Linked DNA regions of Oryctolagus cuniculus. The protein of the gene in region 2 interacts with the protein of the main gene of each other region in a pairwise test. Links are inferred from orthologs where the notes say so. Each region holds a gene or a part of one and is shown on either strand. Other genes may lie near its edges.

Evidence for each region.
Region 1: the proteins of tyrosine-protein phosphatase non-receptor type substrate 1 (region 2) and NOL3 interact in a two-hybrid assay, tested with the Homo sapiens proteins (2 studies listed by BioGRID and IntAct). The two-hybrid records come from large-scale screens. The link is inferred for Oryctolagus cuniculus from reciprocal best matches to the Homo sapiens genes SIRPA and NOL3.

Annotation. Positions count from the first base shown.
Region 1 is NC_091449.1:50,465,434-50,469,277, reverse strand, and holds the start of NOL3 (nucleolar protein 3), read right to left. Parts: upstream 2,958-3,844; 5' UTR 2,674-2,957; exon of another isoform or gene 2,581-2,673; intron 726-2,580; exon of another isoform or gene 606-725; intron 481-605; 5' UTR 473-480; coding exon 178-472; intron 28-177; coding exon 1-27. Other genes in the region: HSF4 (heat shock factor protein 4), read right to left, coding at 3,615-3,766.
Region 2 is NC_091442.1:27,611,588-27,615,389, forward strand, and holds part of tyrosine-protein phosphatase non-receptor type substrate 1, read left to right. Parts: intron 1-1,140; coding exon 1,141-1,461; intron 1,462-2,022; coding exon 2,023-2,355; intron 2,356-3,802. UniProt on the Homo sapiens protein: Immunoglobulin-like cell surface receptor for CD47. Acts as docking protein and induces translocation of PTPN6, PTPN11 and other binding partners from the cytosol to the plasma membrane.

The DNA.
Region 1 (3,844 bases), on a different chromosome or scaffold from region 2:
GGGGGTCATAGCTGCGGTCCCGGTAGCCTGGGGCGGAAGTGGGAGGGTCTCAATTGACTTCTCTGCAGTCACCTCAGCTCAGGCTTCTTGGGAAAATAACAACTCCGCCCTCCAATTAGCCTGTCCCCGCCCCGAGTCACGCCCCCGCCATCTGGACCCCACCCGATGCGCGCTCACCGGGCCCCACGTGTTGCCAGTCCCAGGCCGGGTCGGGCGCGCGCGCGGTTTGCTGGGCACAGCGCAGCAGCTCCTGGCAGGCGGCCTCGCCCTTGCTCTGCACCAGCAGAAGCAGGCGGCGCACCCTGCGCTCGGCGTCTGGCAGGGCGTCCAACGCCTCGTACTCGGGCCCGTTGAGCACGCCCCGCGCCAGCAGCGCGTCCAGCAGCAGCCCCGAGTCCGCCTGCAGCGTCTCCACCAGGCGCTTCCGCTCGCGGTCGATGGTCTCCGACGGCCTCTCCTGCGTGTTGCCCATCGTCCGGGCTGTGTGAAGGAGAGACGTAGTGAGGGCCGGGGCTGTTCTGCGCTGGCTGCGCTCCCAGAGCCCCGCTAGGTACCCGTGGCTGTGACGGCTGCACCACGCAGGACCTGCACGACCCCGCCCGAACCTGTCCTCCTGCGTCTCCGACCGCGGCTGTCCAGTCTCCTTCCCAGGCTCCTCCTTCCCCTCACGTCAGCTCTGGGCCCTCCCCGCCTGAGCCCCGGGCTTGCAGGTGCCGTCACAGCTTATCCGCTTGAGCCTTTTTCTTTCCCAAAGCTGCTCCCGCCTCAACGGGAAGATAAACCGGATGCCCCACAGCCGAACCACACTCAGGGCCCCTCCCATCCGTCTCCTGAGTGGTTCTCTCACCGTGGCGCCCCTTAGTCCTACCGGGACCCTGCAGAACCCTGGACGGGGCTCCCTGCCTCCGTACTACCTGCTCGGGTTCCCTGGGCATCCACAGAACAAGGAGCTGAGGGCCCTGCCTGCTGCTGTCACCTTGCCCTGACCCTGAGGTCCAACTTCCCAGGACAGTCCCTGCCCCTGTCCCCTCACCGCCACCCCCACCTTGTTGCAATCCCTGCTTGGTTGCATGGCCCTTCCTGGCTCCCTGGCACCTGGGCAGAGCTACCTGAATCTTCTCCACCAGTATCTGACTTCATCTGAGACCCGGCAGTCTCCCTTCGGGCCTGGGCAGGACTCACAGCCATCTCTTCTTGCTTGATACTAAGTTCCTAAGGCCCAGCCCAGGAAAGCTACCCGTGACTTCTTGCCAGACCATCATTTTTTTTTTTTTTTTCTCCAAGGGAACTCCTCATTGTGACAGTGTCTCTACGAAACAGTAGGTATTCAGTGGAAATTAATGCATGGATGCTTCGTGCATTTATTGCCAAATCCCCTCAGGTGGCTGGGCTCAGCTAGCAAGGCCCTGGGCACTTAAGAGGCCAAGAGGTCAGCCTCGGCCGGCTCCCTGCCTCAGCCCATCCCTCTGCCTTGGCTCTGCTCATGCAGCAACGCCCCTGGTATCATGTCTTCCCTTGGTGACCCTCATCTGCTGCGGGCTCCATGAGGCTGGGCATCCTCTGGGAGAGGGGATTTAGTCCTCGCCCTCGTCCTGCCTCTCCTGGTGTGCGCTCACACTCTCCCGGCCTCCTGCCCCCACTCCCACGTGTGAGGGTCAGCTCTTGCCACCAAGTGAGCAGGCACCAGAACTACCCCCTGCCTCTCCCTGCCTGCCACATCTGTGACAGATTCTGCCCCGTGTCTCAGCCTCCCTCAGCTCCTGCCAGTGGAGCTCATCTGTAATGCCCCGCCCCCTCCATCCCACCACCCACACAACACAGTGACTGACAACCCTCTGGGGGAGGGCTTATTGTCCCAGCTTAGAGAGAGACTGTGTGGAGGACTAGAATGTATCGCTTCAGCCTGCACAATAGTGAGATCGCTTGGTGCCAGCTGCCCACCACAGAGAACCCAGGCTACCTGCTCTGGCTACTGTAGCCACCTCCCTCAGCCCTGACGGCCAGGTCCTTCCTCATTTCCCTTCACCATTCGGCCAGGCAGAGTGGTGTCACTATGTCCCGGGCACCTCTGAGCCTTTGCTGATGCTGTTCCCCAAGCCTGGCGTGCCCTTCCCCTCCCTCCACTTCTCCCAAGACTCAAATATTCCCTTGTCCACTCCAATGCCAGAGTGTCCCAAGGTAGTTCCTTCTTCCGGGTATCCCAGTGAGCAAGGCATACCCGCACTCCTGACCTTAACTAACATCCCTGCGCTGCGAAAACGCGGCTTTCGGACGGTCGGCCAACGGCGGGCACCGGGAGGGAGAGCGGAGCGGCACTTATTCTGGGTAACACGGAGGGGTGCGCAGATTGCGTCGCCCAGTCCTCCTGTCTCCCTCCTCTCTAACTTGCTTCATGTTAACCTCATTTCCCCGAGACCAGCCCTGTGCGTGCAAGGCGTGCGGAGCGGAGAGCCAGCAGCGCTCACAGCTCTAAGGTGAACCCCGAAGTTAAGGCAGGGGTCAGAGGCCAGATGCTTCCCAAGGCACCAGGCGGCGAGACGTGAAGCTGGCTCCCGCCCTCCCCCCACTCCCCATCCCCACCTGCTGCACCCTCCGGCTCTTCTGCTAGGCAGCCGGAGGTCGTGGGAAACAGCGGGCGCCTTTGCGCATGTGCGACCGCCCAGCTGCCCTTACCTCCCCAGCGCCCAGCGCCCAGCGCCGGAGCCGCCGAGTCCTGCGGCGGGGCGGGGCGGGGCTCACAGACCACCTTCGTGGCGGCTGCGGGTGGTGAGGCTGGTTCCGCCCAATCTGTTTCCCTTCCCGCCCCCAGCCGGGAGGAGCGGGGCTCCGAGTCGGGTCCGCTACGGGCGGCCCCGCTCACGGGTCGGGCCTCGGCGGGGCGGGAGATGACGGTGCAGAAAGGGCCGGGCGGGGTGGGGGTGGGAGCAACAGCTGCGACGGGGGCGGGACGGCCGGGGCTGCCGGGAATGGCGGGGGGCGGGGGCGTCCTTGCCCAGCACCTGGAGCCGGGCTCCGCTTGCCCGCGGGGCTCCCCGGGAGATGAGCTGGGGAGGAGGCAGTTGGGCCCGCACCCCACGTAGCCAGCGCCCACGCTGGGCCTGCCAGTTGTCAGTGCGCTTCACAGCTCTCCTCTCATCGACCTCCCTCCTCTCTGCTTGTCCCAGACGAGGCTCAGAGAAGGGGACCGACCGACTCGTGGTCACAGAGCGCTGCATCGCTGGGCAGGGTGCGTCCCAGAGGTTGCAGGGGCCACGCGTGAGCCCTGGATCCCGGCCTAAGTAAGAGGGTTGGCCCCCTCCCCGCTTCCCAAGTACCATGACTCTCTGGAGATTCTTCCATTAAAGCCCTAGCACCTGGACGCTTTTACGAATGCAAAGTTCCCCTTCCATCACCAGGACACCTGTGCTCCCTCCCTGGTCGACGGAGAAAAGAGAGCAGAAACACAGAAAAAAATGCAATTTATGTGCAGGGCTCATCAGGGTGCTGGAGAGAGGCCGCGGAGTCAAGGAGAGGGGGTTCACTCACCCCCCGCCAGGGGGCGCCAGGAAGCCGAGAGGGGGTGTGCCGCTGTGGACTGGTCCCTCAGCCAGCCCGGCTTCATTTGCTTGCAGGTTTCAAGGGGAAGGACTGGCCCCGGGGCCCAGGTAGGAGGCCCTGCTCTCAGGGGTGCTGTAAATGGTTAAAGCCCCAGGCAAGCCGAGAGCTGGGCCTCCCAAGGCCGCCTGGACATCCAGCAGGAGCGGGGCCCCCAGCGTAGGGTCCTTCCCTAGGAAGAGTGGGTTTGTGCTCAGCAGCCAGGAAAGGTTGCCCTTCCCACCACTCAGTGAGGATGAAACATTCCTAA
Region 2 (3,802 bases):
GCACTTGGGCCATCTTCTGATGCTTTCCCAGGCGCATTAGCAGGGAGCTGCATTGGAAGCAGAGGAGCCAGGACTCTAACTGGTGCCCTGATAGGGGACGCTGGTGGTGCAGGTGGCAGCTTAACACGCTGTGCCACAGTGCTGGCCTCAGCACCCTCTTTATGATTCAAAATATGTGATGGGTGTTGGGGAGCAGGTTGAATACTCACAGGAGCAAATGCCTGTGTCCCCTGTGGCCTGACCTCTCCCACATAAAAGCTGGGTGTGATCTTAGCACTTTGGAGACCCCTGCAGGAGCTGGCTACAGGGAGGGGCTGCCCTGGCTCTTCTGCCTCACCCAGTGTGTGCTTGCGGGAGGTGCTTCTGCCGGCTCGGGGGCTGTGCCTGCGTCTCCTGGAGCTCAGGAGCCACTGGGAAATTAACCGCCTTGGCTGTCTCGGCACTCAGTGATCTTTGTTCGCAGTCCACAGCGGGCTCCGCGGAAGACCCCTCGCCCTTCTCCCCTCTCAGGGAGGCCCTGGCACAGATTGGGCCCTGCTGGAATGTTTGTGGGAGATGCAGAGTAGACTCGCTACTCCCCGGAGGGAGAGCTCTGGATAGAAGCAGACCCAGGCTCAAGGGAGAGACCCGTGACGTTTGTTTCTGTGGCGCACCTTGGGTGCCGTCTCCAAAGCCTTGGCTTCTGTAACCCTCGATGCAAGTCTGGAGGAGAAACGCCTGCCGTCCCATTTCTCAGAGGCCAGTGGGGTGTGTCAGGTCCACCTCCTGGGCCCGGTCATCCCAGGTCCAGCTGTGAGGGCAGAGAGACTGCCCAGTGCCCCCTGCATCTGCTTCTAGAAACGCTTTGAGGTTTGCAAGGTTTCCTGGGGAGGCCGCTGGGAAGAGTTAGCACAGAGGAGAGGGCAGCTGTGATTCTGTTCCCGGGCAGGGCTGGAGGGAGTAGGCCTTGCAGAGGACTTGAACTCAGACTTGGGAGTGCCCCTGTGCGTGCCCTGCCTGTCACTCACTGTCTGGCCTTGGGAGACTCCGCGACCCCCTCTGTCCCCCCAGCATGATTAGAAAGATTGACGTGACGTGAGTGAGACTGCCTGTTGCCAGGTCATCATGATCCTCTTTCTTGTCTGAATGCTCCTTTTGTAGCCAAGCCCTCCACCCCGAAGGTGTCGGGGCCTGGGGCGAGGTCCACCCCGGAGCAGACAGTGGACTTCACGTGTGAGTCCCACGGCTTCTCCCCCCGCAACATCAGCCTGAAATGGTTCAAAAACGGGAACGAGCTCCCGGCCTTCCAGACCAGCGTGTACCCCGCGGGAGAAAGCGTCTCCTACAACGTCACCAGCACCGTCAAGGTGGCCCTGGCTTCCAGCGATGTGCACTCCCAGGTCATCTGCGAGGTGGCCCACATCACCCTGCAGGGAGGCTCCCCTCTCCGTGGTACTGCCAACTTGTCTGAGACCATCCGAGGTAGACGATTGCACCCCCACCCCCGCCCACACCTGGCTGCCGTGCCTGCCCCTGCTGGCTTTGCTCTGGGGCCTGAGTTGCTGCCTCTATTCCCAGCAGCCCTGCCCACTGGCCCCGTACCAGTCCACCCCAGTGGCTGGCGTGCCAGTCTCTGTCCTTTGAGTGGCAGCTGCCGGGTGAAGCCTGGTTGCACGCCAAGTGCTGTGCCAGTTACTCCTCTCATTCTACCATTCCAGAATATTCTGCAGGTGCTGAGCACCTGTGTGAGCCAAGCCCCTGTCTCTGCAGTGGCCACGTTCCTCCTGCATCCAGGGTTTGGGCTTGTTGATTTCACTCGCTGCTACCCTTAGGGAGCTCCCTGTCTCGAGCACCGCCTGTGTGCTGGGCACCATGTTTAGTGATGTCACGCATGTGCAGAGTCCCCTCCATGCTGAGTGCCTGCTGCATGCCTGGCCCTGTCGCGGGGGTGCCCTGGCCCTGGTGGTGGGAGCCGAGTTACTCGGCCCCTCCTCCAGGATCTGCCTGTCCCGCAAGCTCAGAGCTTCTGCCCTGCTGTTTCAGTTCCCCCCACTGTGGAGGTCACACAGCAGCCCATGGGGGCAGGGACCCAGGTGAACGTCACCTGCCACGTGGACAAGTTCTACCCCCGGAATGTGCAGCTGAGCTGGCTGGAGAATGGAAACGTGTCCCGGACAGAGACGGCTTGGACCCTGGTGGAGAACAAGGACGGGACCTACAACCGCACGAGCTGGCTCCTGGTGAACTCCTCCGCCCACAGGGAAGATGTGGTGCTGTCCTGCCAGGTGGAGCATGACGGGCAGCCAGCGGTCACCAGAAGCCACACCCTGCAGGTCTCTGCCCCGCCCAAGGAGCAGGGCACAGACACCAGCCTTGGTGAGGCCGCCCCTCCAGCTGGCCTGGCTCTTTTGAAATGTTATCTTAACGTAACCCCCCCTTTTTTTTTTTAATGTTACAAGTAGTAGCCATGCATATTATAGCATTATCTGGACATCTGTAAACATTGAACAGGTTTTTTTTTTTTTTAATTTTGTTTGAAAGATTTATTTATTTTATTTTAAAGGCAGAGTTACAGAGAGGCAGAGGCAAAGAGAGTGAGGGAAAAATCTTCCATCTGTTGGTTTACTCCCCAAATGGCTTCAGTGGCTGGAGCTGAGCTAATCTGAAAGCTGGAGCCAGGAGCTTCTTCCAGGTCTCCCATGTAGGTGCAGGGGCCCAAGCACTTGAGCCATCTTCTGCTGCTTTCCTAGGCCATAGCAGAGAGCTGGACCAGAAGTGGAGCAGCTGGGACTCGAACCAGCACCTATATGAGATGCTGGCACTGCATGCGGCAGCTTTACCCACAGTGCCAGCCCCTGAGTAGAATTTCAAAGTTGGCTCACTCCTCCAAATCCCATACTCCAAGGGTTATTACTGCTGTGAGTTTGGGACATGTCGATATGTCATAATGAACCTTCTGCCATCAGCAGCTGTCAAAACCAGGGGTGGGGGTGTCCATTCTGTTCCTGGGGTCCTGCCGCCTGCCCTTTCTACCTGACAGTTGTTCCTTCCTCTGTGCCTCCATGCTCTCTGTAACCTCTGCCAGCTCTCTTGGGTCCCGCTGCAGGCCTGCCCCCTGGGAGGGGGGCGGGGCACTGCTTGTAACCATGTGCATCCTTGTACAGATCCCATGCCACGTGCCGGCAGCTCTGTGGGATACACTTCCTCGCCACAGCGAGGCCACTCTCCCAGAGAGAAAGTGGGCGCCAGGGTGTCATTTTCTCAGCCCCCCTCCCAGGCGTTATCAGCACACCTGGGTTCTTCAAGAAGTTTGTGCCATGTGGTGTTAACAGCTAAGTTTCTTTGGGCGCAAATCATTTTGAAATCCATGCATAGAGTGAGTCTTCCAAAAGTTCGTGGAAACGTAGACCATGAAAAGGCTATGCCTGGATTTCAAATAAACATATCTTTAATTCCATTTTTTTCCATCAATCTGGTGAGGTACCCGCGAATTCCTCATGCAAACATTAGCAGCCGGTTGGACTTTGCCACCGTGCCTGGCTGAGGGCTGTGCGTGGCACAACCTTGACAGTGGACTTGCAATAGACACTTCCTGCCTTCTTGCATCCTTTGTGGAGACCCTGAAGCAGCCCTCTGATGTTCTCAGTGCCTGCAGTGGGAGATGGGATGTTGGGTTTCAACTCTGTCTCTGCTGCAGGCTTGCTGTGTATCTTCAGGGGAAGTCAGTGTGTCTCTCTGGGCCTTGGCTTGCTCGGGGCTGTGTGGTAGGAGCTGAGCTTCCTGACGCCCTTGGCTCTGAGTCTCAGCTGCTGGGGGCTTTGCC